Linked DNA regions of Danio rerio. The protein of the gene in region 1 binds, or shares a complex with, the protein of each later gene. Links are inferred from orthologs where the notes say so. Each region holds a gene or a part of one and is shown in the gene's direction. Other genes may lie near its edges.

Region 1 (3,495 bases):
AAGGACTACAAAAAAGACTTTTCTACCCAATAAGAAACTTCCTTTTTATAGAAAACCTATTAGGCAGCTTATTAAATCTCATTTTGCTTCTAAAGTAAATGTATATCGACATTCACATTGGAAAAACTAGACAAAAATACTAAAGAAGAACATCGTTTTTTTTTTTTTTTCTACAGTGTGATCAGAAGGTTTATTTTAGTTTTGGAATTATTTAAATCTCAAGCTATAAAATAAATAAAAAAATATAAAAGTTCTTATGTTCTTGCTAATAAAACTGTTATACATTTAGAGAACATTTGGACATATTGTGTTCCCTTCAAAGTATTATTAAAGCTTGCTTACAAGGTCTTAAAATAATTCAAAGCCTTAAATTTTCCTACATAAAACGTGCAGAAAGCTTGCTTTATTTGTAGTTGAGTTCAGACTGTGTTTCTAACATCTGTTTTTATTTGATTCATTTTATTCGCAGATATTGCATAGTACGGGTCTAGAGTTTCAACACCAAGTACAGGAGGCAAAAGACCTGGACCAGCTCATTAAAATCCACTACAGATACTTGTCCACCATTCATGACCGATGTCTGCTCAGAGAGAAAGTACGCTGGAATTAGACATTGAAAAAAAAAAAATCTCGAAATTTGACTTATTATTGCACAAAATTGCATGTCACGGTTGAAAATGTACTTCTGATGGGTGGCCTAGTTTTCTTAATCTTTTAAACCGGTATAGATATTTGGAATATTTCTGATCCATCAAATTGGGGTTACTGTGTCTTTGCAGGTCAGTTTTGTCAAGGAGGCCATCATGAAAGTGCTGAATTTAGTTCTCATCTTCTCTGACAGATGGCAGGCTGGTTTTGGGGCCTGGAAGTAAGTAAAAAAAATCTTACATGTATCCCTATCTCACAGCTTTCACTTCAGCTTGATGACCATGAGCTTTCACTTCTCTTTAGCTTTCTTTTTTTCCTCATGACTGTGGATTGCAATATTCACGTCTCTCTTCTTTTCCCCAGAATCGAGTCGATTGACAAAATGGAGTCGGATTTTAAAAACTGTCACATGTTTCTGGTGACCATATTAAACAAGGCTGTTTGCAGAGGCTCATTTCCTCATCGTAAGTCCTAAACTACAGTGCATTTTAAAACAATAGTGTGAAGAAAAGAAAGCATGTTTAAATGTTTGTGGATCAATTTGTGGGTTTTAAATATCAAGTATAATGTACTATTTCTTTAGCACATTTCCCAGACAAGAAGTCACAAAGTGCTTTACAGTAAAAGAAAAAAGGTTAAAATCCATGTACAAACACTACTCGACTGTAAAAACCAGCTCACCTTACTGGTAATTAAGAACTTGTGCAAAAAGATGTCTTTTAAATGTTTTTAAAAAGTTAAAATGAATTGATATAAAGACATAAAATGTCTCGATTAATTATTCTGAGCAAATAAATAATGACTTCACACATATTTTTAGCTTGAATTACAGAATAAACATGAAGTAGCATTCTGTACAATAATATTTTATATACCATTTGAAATCTTTATACTTTGACAATATCATTTGAACTACTAGGTTTCACCCAGTTGGTGGCAGTTATTTTTTAATCATGTCAAATAAAATACAATTTTGTAGAATCACTTTTTTTTTAATTATGTACAGGTCAGACAATTGTTCATTTGCATATAAATGTTTATATTAACTTGGACATTATTTCACTCTAACTGGAAATGATAGTTTCACAAATGTAATTAAAACTTTAAAAACTTAAGTTGCATTTAATATCTTCATGTATATAAAATCACTTTTTGTTAATTAAATTGAATCTGACACTTGATTACTGAAGAAAATATAGAACCTTACCCCCCCCAGTATGTATTTGCTGAATATTACCAAATATATACAATTATTACATAGATGTGTTAATGAAATTAAGTCAAAATTATCTTTTTAATACACTTACTGGCCACTTTATTAGGTACACCTTACTAGTACCAGGTTGGACCCACATTTGCCTTCAGAACTGCCTTAATGCTTCGTGGCATAAATTCAACAAGGTACTGGAAATATTCTTCTGAGATTTTGGTCCATATTGACATAATAGAATCGATGCGAATCTCCTGTTCCACCGCAGCCCAAAGGTGCGCTGTTGGATTAAGATCTGGTGACTGTGGAGGCCATTTGAGTACAGTGAGTTCTGTCTTTTGGATAAGACGTTAAACCATGGTCCTGGCTCTCTGTGGTCATTAAAAATCCCATGGCAGTTCTCCTTAAAAAAAAAAAAGAGTAGGGGTGTAACCCCTGTGTCCAGGCCAAAGTCCCTCAATCGGCCCTTATGATCATGGCCTCTCAATCATTCCCATCCACCGAATTGGCTCTATCACTGTCTCTCCACTCCACCTACAGTTGTTGTGTGACAAGCGCACTGGCGCCGTTGTCCTGTGGCAGCCATCGCATCATCCAAGTGGATGATGCACACTGGTGGTGGTGAGGAGAGACCCCCCCACCATGGTTATGAAGCACTTTAGGTGTATGGCCATACACAATTATTGCACTATATAAATACACATTACATTGTCATTTTTTAGAAACCAGTCTGAGATAATTCACGCTTTATGACATGGCGTGTTATCCTGCAGGAAGTAGCCATCAGAATATGGGTACACTGTGGTCATAAAGGGATGAACATGGTCAGCAACAATACTCGGGTGGGCTGTGGCATTGACACAATGCTCAATTGCCAAGAAAATATCCCTCACACCATTACACCACCACCACCAGCCAGAACCGATGATAGGCAGGATGGATCCATGCTTTCATGTTGTTGACTTCAAATTCTGACCCAATCATCCGAATGTCGCAGCAGAAATCGAGACTCATCAGATCAGGCAGCGTTTTTCCAATTTTCTATTGTCCTATTTTGGTGAGCCTGTGCGAATTGTAGCCTGTTTTCTGTTCTTAGCTGACAGGAGTGCCACCTGGTGGGGTCTTCTGCTGCTGTAGCCCATCCGTCTCAAAGTTGGATGTGTTGTGCGTTTAGAGATGCTCTTCTGCATACCTCAGTTGTAACGAGTGTTTATTTAAGTTACTGTTGCCTTTCTATCAGCTCGAACCAGTCTGGCCATTCTCCTCTGACCTCCAGCATCAACAAGGCATTTGCACCCACAGAACTGCCTCTCACTGGATATTTTCTCTCTTTCGGATCATTCTCTGTAAACCCTAGAGATGGTTGTGTGTGAAAATCCCAGTAGATCAGCAGTTTTTGAAATACTCAGACCAGCCCCTCTGGCACAAACAACCATGCCACCATTAAAGTCACTTAAATCACCTTTCTTCACCCCTTTTGATGCCCAGTCTTGTACTGTCTTGACCATGTCTACATGCCTAAATGCATTGAGTTGCTACCCTGTGATTGGCTGATTAGAAATTTGTGTTAACAAACAGTTGGGCAGTTTACCTAATAAAGTGGCCAGTGAGTGTATTTCCCAAATGATGTTTAACAG
Region 2 (5,307 bases), on another chromosome or scaffold:
GATGTTTCCATATACAGTTGAAGTCAGAATTATTAGCCCACCTGTTTATTTTTTCCCCAATTTTTGTTTAACAGAGAGATTTTCTCAGCACAGTTCTAATCATAAGAGTATTAATAACTCATCTCTAATAACTGATTTATTTATTCTTTGCCATGATGACAGTAAATAATATTTGAAAGACAGTTTTATACAGCTTAAATTGACATTTAAAGGCTTAACTAGGTTAATTAGGTTAACTAGGCGGATTAGGATAATTAGGCAAGTTACTGTGTATTGATAATTTGTTCTGTAGACAGTGTAAAAAATATATAGCTTACAAAGGCGAATAATTTTGTCCTTAAAATGTTTTTTTTTTTCAATTAAAAACTGCTTTTATTATAGCCAAAATAAAACAAATAAGACTTTCTTCAGAAGAAAAGTATTATCAGACATACTGTGAAAATTTCCTTGCTCCATTAATCATCCTTTGGGAGATACTTAAAAAAAGAAAATTCAAAGGGGGGCTAATAATTCTGACTTTAACTGTACATTCTATGTGTATGCTTTAAGTTTTTACTGCAAATGTCACATCCGTAATGCTGGAATTGCTCTCATCATTTACTCAACCTTAACCTGTTTGAGTGATTTTCCCCTGTTGAACTCAAAGAGAAATTTACAAAAGAACGTTCAGAAATAAACAGCCATTGACTGATTTTTTTTTTCCTTCAAACTTTAACAACTGACCAAAGTGTTCCTCACAACTGGCTTGCTAGGTTTGGGACTTGGGAAGCTGCACATCAATGGACTTGCTCTTCTGTATTTGTACTTTTAGCAGTGAATTTTAAATCACAGTAAACTGAACTACACTAAACTGAACTTCAACTCTGGATTGACACAGTTTCCATCTACTAGAAGCAGCTTTGAAACATTCTACATTGTAAAAATAGAAAAAAACATGAATTGAACTTCCATCATGTTTTTAGTGTCTACTATGAATATCAATCACTGTTTTCGTCCCCCAACATTCTTCAGAATATCTTGTTTTGTATTCAACAGAAGAGAGTATTTAATAATGGTTGAGAACCACTTAAGAGTAAATAATAGTGATGAAATTGACATTTTGGGAGGGTGAGCTATCCCTTTAGTTCTTTCCTCATATGTAGTAGAGTCAGTTAATTACTCACCGCTGACGAGCTCTTACAGCTTTTAAAGACAGACGGACTGGGCACCACAGACTCATGCAGACGGTGATAGTCGTTTGGGCTCTCAAACGGGTTCAGGATAGTAGGTCTAGCAGGAGTCTCGGGAGTTATATGAATCTTTGCGATGTCTCCCATCTTTAAAAAGACATCCAGCTGAGCACGCTGAATGTGTGAGAGTAAAACACGGAAAAGAGGAGATTATTTAAAGTATCAACAAATCAGAGCGATGAACATCATGTTTGCTTAGTTATATATCTTGTTATACATACACAAAAGATCAATGATACAATGTTCTACCTTTGGTAATCAGCAGTCTTAACGTTATAAAAGAAGGGGAAAACGTTAACCATGTGTTAGTTAATTAAATACTTACATCGTAACGAAACTCAAACAAACGTAACTGTGATATATGAATTGCTCCAACGTCTGATTTAATTTTTGATCAAGCGGTGCAAGCCAATCACAATCGAGCAAAACTTGCAAAACAGCCAATCAGGTGAGAAGAACGACACCCTTTCAGTGTCTACGTAACTTCCTTTCGAACGTGTGCAACTTTATTGACAGGATTACCATAACATCAAGCGGGAGGTGTAAATATAACGGCTGACAGTTAGTTCATGCTTGTTGTTGAATGCGTTTTATATTTTTCACCCTTGTTGTAAGTTCGCGAATGGTGAGAGAACGCCAGCAACTAACGTTTACAGAGATAGACGCATCAGTGTCGTCTGAATGAAAGATAGTGCGCTGTTAAGTAATCATATAGCTTTAGCAACGATAGCATCATGGCTAGTCCTGCAAGCGCAAACATGAACGCTGTCCGCGAGACCATGGATGGTAAGATTAAATGCATCAGTAGAATGATGAAATGCTGTCATTATAATGCATGCCCGTAGACAGCCTGGTGAAAGGGGTGGTTCTTTATTTTCTCATATGGTGGACCTTGTTGCAGTTATTCACTTCAAAAAAATGCTTTTTTAAAGTAACGTTACTTTATGAAATGTTGCCATATGGCATCGACGTCCAACAGTGGACATAACTTAGAAAATTTAAATGTAGAACTTTCCTTCTAATGAATAATTTTGTTCTTTGAAATGATTTAACTGGTGTTGCAGTATTATAAGCTTTAACACAGAACTTATAAATGACACCTTATGCATACTTTTCAACAACTGATATTCCAACAGCTTTTATTTATTCCATTCTTTTTTGCTGAATATTATTAAAACATAATATTGTTTTATAATGTATACAACACGGTAAAGGTAAATATTTTCTAAACATTTAAGTAAATATTATAATAAATATACCAGTACAATCTATCTAGATGTATCAATGTAGTTACTAGCTAACATTGTTTATATATTATATACTATATACTATACTACGCCTGTTTTAAATGCCTCCGAGCAAACTTACCTGAACTGTCTCCATCACTGTTCTTATCAAATGTCCAACCTGCATCATTCTCACGGTCACTAAAACCCATCTCAACATCACTTTCATCTGCAGGAAGAGCCAGATCTGTCCATTTCTTCTTCCACTTACCATAGAACATGGTGGTCCTCATTAATACACTGTTCCCTGTATTTATTTCTAATCAAACGTATTGCCATTAAAATGTGATTTTATCCATTTAATTTCTATTAATATATGACCAATTAACATTATATTACTAGCATTCATGTTGTTATTGTTACAACTTAAAAGATCACAGCTGACCTTGCTAGCTAGCTAACCCATTGCAATACTGCACATTCCACTATTGCACAGAGCAACACATACATTTGATCGAATTACAAAAAACTAACAAATATCAACTTGAATATAAGTTGGTTTTCTTTACCTCTTTTTCTGTCCATTTCTGCCAAAAACATGCTCTTACATAGGGCTGCACAATATTGGAAAAATCTTACATTGTGATATTTCACTTTACTGCGATTAGAAATAGACTGGTATTAGATTCTGATGGTACTGTATGATAACCTTGTATATAAATATGACTGTATTGTGATTACTAAAATATATATTCTTTTTAAATGTCTAAGTAAAAAACAAAAACTTTTTCCCCTTTAAACAACTTTTTTTTATTTAGAGAAATATTTAAAGTATTTTGAAACAGTAAACATGTCAGGCTAAATAATTAAAATGAATTATTGCATTCTGACTTCATTAGTTTCAAAAACACTGAACAGCTCTACTTGGAAAGAAAGATTTCATTCATATAGATCAGCTGGGATAATTAAATCTTTTTCAATGCAGTGCATCAGCATAAAATATAATAAATTACAAGCATATTCAAACAAGACAGAGCAAAAATAAACAGTGCTTTATGGTTTTCTAAGGAGTGTAAAAGTAATCAAATACAATAAAACGTAAAATAACATCACTGTATAAATAACCTAAAAAATAATAACTTTTTAATCTTTGATAAACAGTCTAATTTTGTGATATGGCTATTGTGGATACACATAATGCAATATAGATGCTCAAACTATATATTGTTTAGCCCTACTTTCACATTATTTGTGCTGTGTAAGCATTACATAAATACATTTTACATAGATATAAAAATAGATTTAAACTAAATAGATTGTTGACTGTTTTACAATATGCAGTGCAAACATTAGGTCATGAAAATTTACTTAAAAGTCCTGGAGAAGGCATGGAATTTTAGTAGTAAAAATGTGTATGAACCCTGTATATTAAAAGATAAATAAATAAAGCTTGATGATTTTTATAGCCTCCCATGTAAAAAAAAAAGTACATTTGAAAATTCATGGATCACAAGAATAGCCTAGGTATTAACTTTAGTATAACTAAAGCTTTGCTGCTTAAGGTCCAAGATTTAGAATCAAAGTTTTTTGTAAAATGTTTTCTCTATTTAACAACAGTGCAGTTGGTCAGTAGTGAAAAATGATTTCACTTACAGTTGTGTCAGATTCTGCTTTGTCCTAAAGCTATTTATGGGATGTGTTTGCAATTTTTGATGGCTTAGCAGATAAAATTGGACTATTGAGCTCATGTGTGTGGCAAATTCTGGAACTTTGTCGGTGTGGGTGGGTATTTCGAACCACTCGAACCCCTCTTAGCTTTGGGTCTGTAATTTGTTATTTTATTACATGGCGATACAGATCCTCACAAACTAAACATAAGTAACGTAAGAAACATAAGTGTGAATAAAAATGTTAATAATGTAAATTAATAATAATATCTCTATTGGTAATTTCTTTGTTGCATTTTATTGGTGGCATTCTAGTTGATTATGTCTCAAAACGTACTAAAACCAATTCAAATATGTTGTCATAAGAGGTTAAATTAAATTGAAGGTAAAATGAAGTCCTTTAGAACTTCTGTAATGTTTCTGTTTTGTTTTTTTGTTTTCAGAAGGGGGAAATAACTACACTTACTGCGTTAACCAAATTATTTCATAATACATTTATTTATACATTTACATACAAGGTTGTTTGACATGATTTGTTTCATTCTTTCACTCTCAGTTCTCCTGGAGATATCAAGGCTGCTGAATACAGGATTGGACATGGAGTCTTTGTCAATATGTGTCCGTCTCTGTGAGCAGGGGATCAATCCCGAAGCCCTGTCATCAGTTATCAAAGAACTCAGAAGAGCCTCAGACTCACTAAAGGTAGGTTTTTTGATGGCAGTCCATCATTTTTCTGCTTCTTTTTCCACACTCTCTCTTTTAATGGTTTTGAAGATGCTAAATAGCATATGGTCATATACTTATAAATTGTAGTTAAAAATGTTTAGTGCAAGGGTTTGGTTTACCCTGAAAGACCCAAACGTAGAAAAATACACTTTTAGATGTTATTGGAGGCCTCTAATGTAATGAAATAAATTAGTTTTTACATTTAAAAAAAATGTATCAGGAAAATATAATATTGCAATGCTGGGCCTCTGGAGTAGCAGAAAGTTGCAGCAAAAGCTATGAAGATCCAATGTTTTTTTACAGGGTGTACTGCCTATGCAGGCCCATAACAGTGGCCTGTATATCTACACGCAACACAAATCAAAACACAATTAGAATAATTGCCGTGTATAATCTATATTTACAAAATTTGATGAAGTAAATGACAACTTTGACATGTGCATGTCTGTATCTGCAGAG
Region 3 (4,625 bases), on another chromosome or scaffold:
AGTACGCTGTGCGGGTCATTGGAAGTAATTACGCTCCCACAATTGAACGGGACGAGTTTTTGGTGTCTGAGAAAATTAAGAAAGAATGTGAGTGATGTTGAAACCCTATCCTTTTTTTTGTGCACATGTGCTTTTAGAAGGCCTGAAACAAATATTTTGTGTTTTTTTTTTTTGACCTGTTATATTAATCTACAAAAAAAAAAAATAAAAGTAAAATTATATGAGAATTAAGTTTTAAGAATTTTATTTCAGAAACATAATATTAAACTTTGTTTCCGCATGAAAAATAGAAATTAGGGTGAATTGTTAATCTGCTATAGTAGCTGGAATTTCAGCAGATGTAGTCATAGAAATTCATAATATCAGATTTAGGACTTTGGTAAGATGATGAAATCAACATAATTCTGAATGTTCAGTATAACAGAATAAAAAAAATACAACTGATCAGCAAATTTACTGTGAATAATATCGATAATTTGTGATTAACTGATGATTGGTTTTAACCATATTTTTGTCTTGAGTTATCTTTTCCAAGGTTGGATAATTGTTATGTATAATCAAATCCATTTTTAAGTTACTTTTAAATATTGAAAGAATGATCACTGTATGTACCAGATTATACATATTTTTGTGTCAAATTTACAGTTCTACTTTCTTTATAGTAAAATAACACAAAATAATGCTGTCAGCTAGAATTTCAGAATTAAGATTGACAAAAATCATTAATATTGCAGACAACCCGATTCAAAAACCACTGTAATGTATTTACTGTGTGTTTATTGTCTGTTACTTTTCTTTGTTCCTTTACTGACTATGCATAATTATTCCACCATGTTGTCATTAGTAATAATCCAGCCCTGGACCTATCGGCGTAGAGACAATTCTGTCAAAAATGCCCTTTAATAATAGCTGCATTAAAAAGAAAAACTTTATATTTTGGTGTCATCATTTATTGTTGATTATTGCTGAATTCTTGCAGTGTTGAAACAAAGGCGGGAAGCAGATGCAGCCCTTTTCTCTGAGTTGCACAGAAAGCTTCAGACCCAGGTCAGAATCGATCATTATTCTCATTATTTCCCAGCTAGCCGTGGTGCACGGATCAGATATAATGATCGTTAGATTGTTAGATGTTGTATGTTGATTCAGTTGTTTCTGTTCAACAGGGTGTATTGAAACACAGATGGTCCATCTTATACCTCCTGCTCAGCCTCTGTGAGGACCCAAGGAAACCATCCGGCCGGGTTCCTGTATGAAATCCTATTTTACAGACTCAGTGATATGAAATATAACTTTACATGATGTATAACAAAGGCTATAGAATACACAAGACGTGTCGCTCTTATAGTTTTGAATGGCGAAAAGTGTAAAGGTCAATATGACGAATGAAGCCCCGTCTTCTAGTACAGGAGACAATCAGCAATCGATATAGACTGACGATTCTTTGGGGGAAGGGGGGGGGGGGGGTGTATTCATTGATGATTCCTAATTTGAAATTAAATCTTAAGCTTGGCAAGCATTTTTAGAGAATTTGATGTTACCCCATTCAAACAGAATACCTCAGCATACAAGGCATTTCAAAGATGGTCTTCGAGTAAAATGACTTGCCTTAAAGGGATTTTGTGTATAAGCGCAGAAGTAATCTTGTTTTCTGTCTACAGGTGTGTAGTTATGGAGCTCTGCTTGCTCAGGCTTTGCCCCGTGATGTTCACTCCACACCGTTCTACTATGCCCGTCCTCAGAGTCTCCCACTCAGCTACCCAGAGCGCTCCGCCACAGCTCATAACTCCAGCATGGCTACCAGTGGAATCAGCAGTATGGGGGTGTTTTCTATTAATGGGCCTGGACCGACCCCACCATCTTTGCTTACTGGGTCAGTTGCAGACAATAAACCTTTTTCATATTTGCAGCTTTCTCAGCAGTGGAAGTCGTCATTCTTGGGGAAGCTTAAAAAATACACTTCGAAAAAAAAAAAAAAATGGAATGACATAATTTCGATATAATAATTTCGGCATAAAATATATACATATATGTATATATGTATGTATTTTTTTATACAATAAGTAAAATACAGTATAACACAGCAAGTATTTGCATATAGAAATCATTGTGTTGGTACGTAGAATTTTATATGAATGATCTTAAAGCATACTTCTCAAATATTACATATTATAAATGAATATAATTAAGGGAAATCTGAGAGCTCCCTCATCCTCCATAGACGGCAATAATTCCCAACTTATTTTTGTACATAAAATAATTCAGTGGTTCTATAGGTGGTTTAAAAAATGTTGTAAGAAAAGATCTAGCTGAATTTTCTCTCCTGTGAACAGTTGTTGTGTCATTCTTATTCAGCTTCTGTTGAATTGCTTCATATAATCCTTTATAAAGTCTATGACAAAACATAAGGGTTTCTCTCTCTCCTTCCCTCCCCTTTTCATAATTATCTTTTCAATTATACAGCTGTTGTATTTGTCGCACGTTTAATTGAACTGCCGCACACTCATCTATTATTAATGCATTTGTCTAGCACCTGCAGCACTTAAGATATTTTAAATATGGCCATGTCCTCCAAGCTCCTGAATTAATTGATTACCGGATCCATTTCACAGTAAATCTGTCAGAGCAAACAACATCATTAAAGTGTCCAGAGCTCAATGTCATTATTTGTTTAAAGCGTGCCATTATGTGGTAATTAGTGAATTCCCACTGGTTTTGCTAATGGGCAACGAGAATGTGTCTCGAAAATTTATGTGGTGAAAAAGACAAATATTTCTTTCACCGCAGCCTTAGAGTTGGACTTTTTGTTCTAGAATTTAACATACAGCATCATGAGGTAAATTTTTATAAATCTATACCATTTTTTTCTGTTTTAGAGCTGGAACTCAGGCTGTTGGAGAGTCTATGAGAGGGTCTCGTTTAGCCTGGACTCTGCCAGTGTCCAGTTCTCCGTCTGGGGCAGCAGCTGCTCCTCGTCCCCCCAGCGGACCCTCCTCCAGTCCAGCTCCCAAACCACTGCAAAGACCCAGGCGGGACGGAGATGGCAGTGGTTGGTATCTGCAGCAGTAATCTTAGATTTTTGTTAAAAGACATGGCCAGTTGGAAAGTGTCGATTGCTTATACTAAAAAAAATAAAATAAGGATAGTATTTTAAAAACTTAAAGGATACTTCGCCCAAAACTTTTAATTTACTCCTCCTTTACTTACTGCAAATGGTTTAAAACTAGTACTGATTTATTAATTGCAGTAGCAGTTTCACAAATTTGAAACCACAGATGTTGCGATTACACTTTAGTCATGTGACATACAGAGGAAGTATTATGGATTTCTTATTTTTATTGGGATATACACTCACCAGCCACTTTATTAGTTACACCTTATGGCCCGTTTCCATTGAGTGGTACTGTTCTGTTTGGTACTCTTTTATGGCCATTTCCACTGTCAAAAGGCGTACCAAACCGTACCATACCAATTGTTCGGCACCCTTTCGAAAGGGTACCAAACACGAGAAAAGGTACCAAAACGTGGAGCTAGACGTGCAGCTGAACGCTATTGGAATGTGGGAAACTGGTTGCCATTGACTTTGATAGTAGGAAATGTATATTTTAAAAAATTATATTTATAACAAGCTGAAATATGGATTTGTTATTGAATTTATCATTATGTAAATGTGTTTTATGGATGTTGAGCTTGCCATGAAATAGCCTGTCACATTGCTGTTGTGACAGTTATAATAATAATAAAAAAATTATAATATTAAAGCAAATAAATAAATAATAAAAAAAGAATAATTATAATAAAATATTTTTTAACAAAAAGCAATGACAAAAAAGATATTTTGAAGAATGTTGGAGACCAGTAGCCATTGACTTCAGTAGTATTTTCCCTCTAATCAATGGCAACCGTTTTCCAACATTCTTCTCTTCAGAATATCTTCTTTTGTGTTAAACAGTTTGTGTTTGTGTTTCAGTAAATGACAGAAATACATTTTTTTACCATTTCTCTATGAAGATAAATGTAAATAAATATATTTTATATCCTATATAAATGATCATTTAACACCATTGACATCAGCCCAAGTGTTTTATTCAGTATATGCAATAAATGGGTCCGTCTGTGAACAAACCCTCATTTTATTTTACAGAATATTTTCCTTTTTTTTTTTTTTTTTAATTAATCAGAGTAGATTCTTGCATTTCACATTAGACTTGTGTCCTTTCTTGTGCATTCCTTAGACCTGAAGAAGGATTTCTGAGGTGTTTAAGATGCAGAGGGCCACACGGCACCTTTCTCTGTGACAGATATATGAGTCTGACCTTTACAGTACTTCAAACTGTCTTTTTTTCACTACTTTTTTTTCCTCTCTTTTTCTGGGCCAGCTGATATTGGGGAAGCTGCTCTCGTCCGAGACATTCTTTATGTTTTCCAGGGAATCGACGGAAAGTTCATCAAGATGTGCAGCCCGGAAAACTGCTACAAAATTGATTCAAAGGTGATGCATTATAAGCTGTATCTTTCTCTCATTTGGCTTCTTTGAGAACTACCATTAACCTATGGCAGGATTTTATGGCAGGATATTTTTTTATATTAAAAAATATGCATTACTGTTTAAAGTTTCCTTTCAGGGA
Region 4 (4,625 bases), on another chromosome or scaffold:
TTTGGTCAAATTGGATCCCACACCTTGAGGTGTGTAGTGTTCATTTGCTAGGTCTGCCCTCATCTGGATATATGCTTCAAAATTTTGTCAAGGAAGCTTGAGTGCTCTCCTTGAGAATCCGGTGTGCCAGTTTGCAAAGTCTTTCAATGATAGAAACATAGCCGACATCTCCTGGCAACATCTTAGCTAGCTCTTTCCAACGCTCACATGATCGCCCACTGAAGCTAATCAGGGCTGCGCTGGGTCAGTACCTGGATGGGAGACTACATGGAAAAGCTAGGTTGCTGCCAGAAGTGGTGTTGGTGAGGCCTGCGGTCTGTGTGGGTCCTAATGCCCCAATATAGTGATGGGCACTCTATACTGCTCAGTGAGTGCTGTTTTTTGGATGAGACGTTAAACTGAGGTCCTGAATCTCTGTGGTCATTAAAAATAACAGTATTTCCTTCGAAAAAGAGTAGGGGTTTTGGCCAAATTTGCCCACTGGGCTCTGTCCATCATGGCCTCCTAACCCTCCCCATACCATAATTGGCTTGATTACTCTGTTTCCTCGCCACCGTGTGTGTGGTCTGGTGTAAAATGGCTGCCAACGCGTCATCCAGGTGGATGCTGCACACTGGTGGTGGATGAGGAGATTCCCCCTATGTGTAAAGCGCTATATAAATGTAAGGAATTATTATTATTATTATTACGAAAGAGGCTGCTTTGTTCATAGGCCCTGGATTGAGCGTGAACATGACCACTTCCTGCCAGAGGCACACAACTGTGGGAATGATCCATTCATTTTTAGCATATGAGAACCAAACTACATTCTGTAGCCTCTTTCTACACTTTGCAGGACCAATAAGACCCATTTGGCAGAAGTTTCTATGCTGCCAGATGATTTACTTAGGGAAGAGGCATGTTCTGTGGCATATTCTGACTCCTAAAGAAGTAGACTTGCAGAGATCAGCCGAGGTGGTCGCTCTGAAACTGTCCTTAGAGATTGGGAAAATCTCAGTGAGTTGAACTTGCTGACTACTGCTGCACACTGAAGCATGCAATGTGTTGTAATTGCTCTTCCTCTGTCTGATCCTTCTGGCATTAAATCTTTGCCATTGCTGAGAGTAAAAGTCCTCGGATTCTGTCTAAAAATACTGCGCAATGACTTCTGATGTCTTCTCATTTCCATGAAGAGACTGATCTGCAGCCTGACACAACTCCTCAATACCTTCAAGTCACATATTTGTCCCTTCTTGCTACCAAGAAGATGATGACCAAAGCCCCATCCCCTTCCCTTTGTCCTTGTTCTAAGCAATCAATGTTGCATTTCACTAATGAGTGTTCAGTTGGCTACAACTGCATTGCACCACACTAAATCCAGAAAGACAATTCTGGGTTCAGCATGTGGGGGACCCATCCATTCCCTCTGCTGAATACATCTGCGATCCTCGTTACTACATCCTCCACTGTACAACAATAACAACAACAAAACCGGAACCCAAGTCGCAAAGTCTGTGAGCCTGTGCACCCTTCCCAATGTGCAACAAATAGAAGTGGAGCACACACTTGAGTAGGTATTCGGTGTGCACAGTCAGTCCTCTTGAGAGCTCACCAGGCATCTCTTCTCCTAGATAAGTAGCACATAAATTGTGTGTATTCCTGATTTATATACATGTGTGAAAAAACCCAACAGTTCGGCTAAAAATGCACAGAGAGTGCTTGCCAAAGACCCAGAAGCTAATGCTCTTTCAAATTTTTGCTCCTTGTCCTTTTGTCACCCTGCCTGTGATGTCACATCACACCATTAGGCAAGGCAAGGCAAGGCAAGTTTATTTATATAGCACATTTCATACACAGTGGCAATTCAAAGTGCTTTACATAAACAGGAATAAAAAAGACAAGTTTAGGACATAAAATGCAGACAATAAAAATGATTAAAAACAGATAAAAACAATTTTAAAATGTGTTAAAATAGGTTATAAAAGAATGAAAAAGAAAATGAAAAACATAATAGTGCAATCTGTCGGACTTAGCACAGTGCTCATACAGTAAAGGCACAGCTAAACAGATGTGTTTTCAGTCTTGATTTTAACATGCCTAATGTTGGTGCACATCTGATCATTTCTGGAAGCTGATTCCAGCAGCGAGGGGCGTAGTGGCTGAAGGCAGATTCACCCTGCTTTGACTGAACTCTTGGAATTTCTAGTTTATATGATCCTAAAGATCTGAGTGATCTGTTGGGTTTGTATTTAGTGAGCATATCTGTAATGTATTGAGGTCCTAGGCCATTTAGTGATTTATAGACCAGTAATAATACTTTAAAATCTATTCTGAATGTAACTGGGAGCCTCTGCATTGGCAGAGGGTGTCAATGGGGCTGTAGTCATTAGGCAGTAAGGCTAGGAAGATCTGAGTGTCATCAGCATAGCTGTGGTAGGAGATTTGGTTCTTTCTCATTATTTGTCTCAGGGGGAGCATGTCATCGTCGCGCAGCACTTTGTGAGCCGCTTGCTGAAATGCCACATTGACATCTGAAAAAAAATTCAGATGTCATTAGATGGCTTAACACATTTATCAAGATACCAAAATACAGAAATGTTTCCATAGCACCACAATTTGTGATGCATCATGAGATCCCTCCAAAAAAGGAATCCATTCTCATATTAGTAAATGCTTTTATCTAAAGCGAATCTCTCCCTCTCTCACACACACACCTCCACACCCCCGAGGCAGTGAGCGGTTTGGTGCCTTGCCAAAGGGGCTCACCTCATCCATAGTATTGAGGGTGGAAGAAAGTGCAGGAAATTCATTCGATGCACCTACAATCCCTGCTGGTTTCATGACTCCGATGTGCAATTTAGATCTCTAATGTCTATTCTAACAGTGAAAACCCATAATGAATGGTCTGTTGTTATTGTTTTAGATCATAAAGGACTTTTTCTTGTTGGGGCGAGGTGAACTCTACCAGGTCTTCATTGACCTTGCTCAGCATATGCTGAAAACCCCACCTTCTGCTGTTACTGAACATGGTATTAATACAACTTACTTTATAAACCATAAACTTTTCTCCATTTCTCTAAATATATCACAATTTTTTTTCCAGATGTCAATGTGGCATTTCAGCAAGCGGCTCACAAAGTGCTGCTCGACGATGACAATCTTTTGCCACTCCTCCACCTCACCATAGACTACCATGGAAAAGAAAGCAAAGGTATTTCTGACTGACAAGCATTTTCATCTACATATGAAATACACATCATTTAATCCTTGTGGTTGTAGAGGGTTCTGGGAATCGAGAGGGCACCACTCCACCTCAGGAGAGCTCTCCTCGTGAAGCTCCGCCCACTGGCTGGGCTGCACTGGGATTGGCTTACAAGGTTCAGTGGCCTCTGCATATTCTTTTCACTCCTGCTGTGTTGGAGAAGTAGGTCATCATTTTATGTTATTATTAGTTTCATATTATTATTTAGCATGAATATAATAACTATTTATCATTAACTACATGACTACAGGTATAATGTAGTGTTCCGGTACCTGCTGAGTGTGCGTCGAGTCCAGTCCGAGTTGCAGCACTGCTGGGCTTTGCAGATGCAGCGCAAGCATCTCAAATCAAACCAGACGGATGCAGTAAAATGGAGACTCCGCAACCATATGGCCTTCCTAGTGGACAACCTTCAGTATTACCTTCAGGTTACTGCTAGAATTATTTATTTAGTCAAAAATTAATCCTCCTTTGCTGGTGATGCTAATATGCCTACACTACTATTACAAAGTTACAAGGAATCAGAAGGATTTGTTTGGTAAACTTCAAAAACATTGGTAAACATTAGTTGATTATATAGTTAAAGTGAACTAACATTGGAATATGTGTTCAGACTTTCAGCTAAATTCTTGATTTTTGTATATTGTGACAGATGATATAAAAAGTGATCGTAAAACATTTATTTTTTTTACATATTTGTTTCGAATACTTTCTATTCATCCAGGAATCCTTAAAATGTATAAAGCTACACAACCTTTTTTTTTTTTACATTTGATAATAATAACAAGAAATGTTACTTGAGCAGCAAGTCAGGATATTGCTTTATGCTTTCAGGATATGCTTTTCTTAAGGATTTTAAGGTTCTGTCTCTTTGGTTTATTCTTGTTTTTGTGACAGAGCTCAGACACTGCTTCTGTCTTGTCTCTGTTAGGGATGTAGTGTGTATAAATGTAATTTATTTCTGCGATGGTAGACATCTTAGGATAGAAGTGAGTTTATGCGGTTTTAGGCATGCGGTATGCTTAATAGGTTACTATTATTTTATGTAATCTTTTATAACTATATGAAGATCCTACAAAGTCATAATAACAAAGCATCTTGATACTGTATCATCAACAATTCACATAATGTGAAATAATGAAAACAAAGATTCATTGATTTAATTAAAAACTTTAAACAAGTCTGAAACCAAAGAATAGTTTCAACTTTCTTAAATTGTGGTGGAAACTAGGGCTGGGCGATAAGGCAAAAGTGCCATCTCCATAATTATTTTTCATATTTAACGATATATATTTTGATATGAATTGTTAATGCTTTCAGATTTAAAAGAGAACAACAAAAATGACTGAAACCACAAAAATTTGAGGGTCTATTAAATGCCAAA

Evidence for each region.
Region 2: the proteins of tubgcp5 (region 1) and mzt1 are in contact, whole or in part, in a crystal structure (PDB 6L81), measured with the Homo sapiens proteins. The link is inferred for Danio rerio from reciprocal best matches to the Homo sapiens genes TUBGCP5 and MZT1. Residues at the interface, in NP_443135.3 of Homo sapiens: Gln14, Gln15, Asp18, Val19, Glu21, Leu22, Val23, Val26, Ala27, Gly28, Asn36, Ala40, Phe43, Ala44, Asn47, Phe48, Arg52, Phe53, Leu54, Phe72, Lys80, Ser83, Trp84, Leu87, Thr88, Glu90, Phe91, Ala106, Ser109, Ile110; in NP_001065243.1 of Homo sapiens: Glu23, Val27, Leu28, Glu30, Ile31, Ser32, Ile34, Leu35, Asn36, Thr37, Leu39, Leu44, Ile46, Cys47, Val48, Arg49, Leu50, Cys51, Glu52, Gln53, Ile55, Asn56, Pro57, Glu58, Ala59, Leu60, Ser61, Ser62, Val63, Ile64.
Region 3: tubgcp5 (region 1) and tubgcp3 share a complex: the UniProt entries of both Homo sapiens proteins name them as parts of the gamma-tubulin ring complex. The link is inferred for Danio rerio from reciprocal best matches to the Homo sapiens genes TUBGCP5 and TUBGCP3.
Region 4: the proteins of tubgcp5 (region 1) and tubgcp4 are in contact, whole or in part, in a cryo-EM structure (PDB 9I8M), measured with the Xenopus laevis proteins. The link is inferred for Danio rerio from reciprocal best matches to the Homo sapiens genes TUBGCP5 and TUBGCP4. Residues at the interface, in XP_018102626.1 of Xenopus laevis: His233, Leu234, His235, Leu238, Ile241, Trp242, His245, His300, Met301, Thr302, Asn304, Cys305, Ser308, Val309, Gln312, Ala392, Ile393, Leu395, Asp396, Lys397, Arg410, Leu441, Asp442, Tyr443, Asp444, Asn445, Val446, Gly447, Glu448, Ala449; in XP_018110859.1 of Xenopus laevis: Met1, Ile2, His3, Glu4, Leu7, Tyr12, Pro13, Gly14, Ser15, Ile16, Gln29, Pro32, Phe33, Glu60, Thr63, Gly64, Ile84, Arg87, Ala88, Arg91, Arg101, Leu105, Gln109, Leu112, Pro115, His116, Leu117, Val178, Gly181, Val182.

The regions. Positions count from the first base shown.
Region 1 is NC_133181.1:40,205,633-40,209,127, forward strand, and holds part of tubgcp5 (gamma-tubulin complex component 5), read left to right. Parts: intron 1-469; coding exon 470-595; intron 596-779; coding exon 780-868; intron 869-1,011; coding exon 1,012-1,112; intron 1,113-3,495. UniProt on the Homo sapiens protein: Component of the gamma-tubulin ring complex (gTuRC) which mediates microtubule nucleation.
Region 2 is NC_133176.1:34,321,643-34,326,949, reverse strand, and holds the start of mzt1 (mitotic-spindle organizing protein 1), read left to right. Parts: upstream 1-1,728; 5' UTR 1,729-1,963; coding exon 1,964-2,015; intron 2,016-4,678; coding exon 4,679-4,824; intron 4,825-5,307. Other genes in the region: bora (protein aurora borealis), read right to left, coding at 1,164-1,316. UniProt on the Homo sapiens protein: Required for the recruitment and the assembly of the gamma-tubulin ring complex (gTuRC) at the centrosome.
Region 3 is NC_133176.1:49,714,145-49,718,769, forward strand, and holds part of tubgcp3 (gamma-tubulin complex component 3), read left to right. Parts: coding exon 1-87; intron 88-979; coding exon 980-1,047; intron 1,048-1,163; coding exon 1,164-1,247; intron 1,248-1,658; coding exon 1,659-1,874; intron 1,875-2,873; coding exon of another isoform or gene 2,874-2,898; coding exon 2,899-3,046; intron 3,047-4,376; coding exon 4,377-4,489; intron 4,490-4,625. UniProt on the Homo sapiens protein: Component of the gamma-tubulin ring complex (gTuRC) which mediates microtubule nucleation.
Region 4 is NC_133182.1:54,542,268-54,546,892, reverse strand, and holds part of tubgcp4 (gamma-tubulin complex component 4), read left to right. Parts: intron 1-2,902; coding exon 2,903-3,008; intron 3,009-3,082; coding exon 3,083-3,190; intron 3,191-3,258; coding exon 3,259-3,403; intron 3,404-3,491; coding exon 3,492-3,669; intron 3,670-4,625. UniProt on the Homo sapiens protein: Component of the gamma-tubulin ring complex (gTuRC) which mediates microtubule nucleation.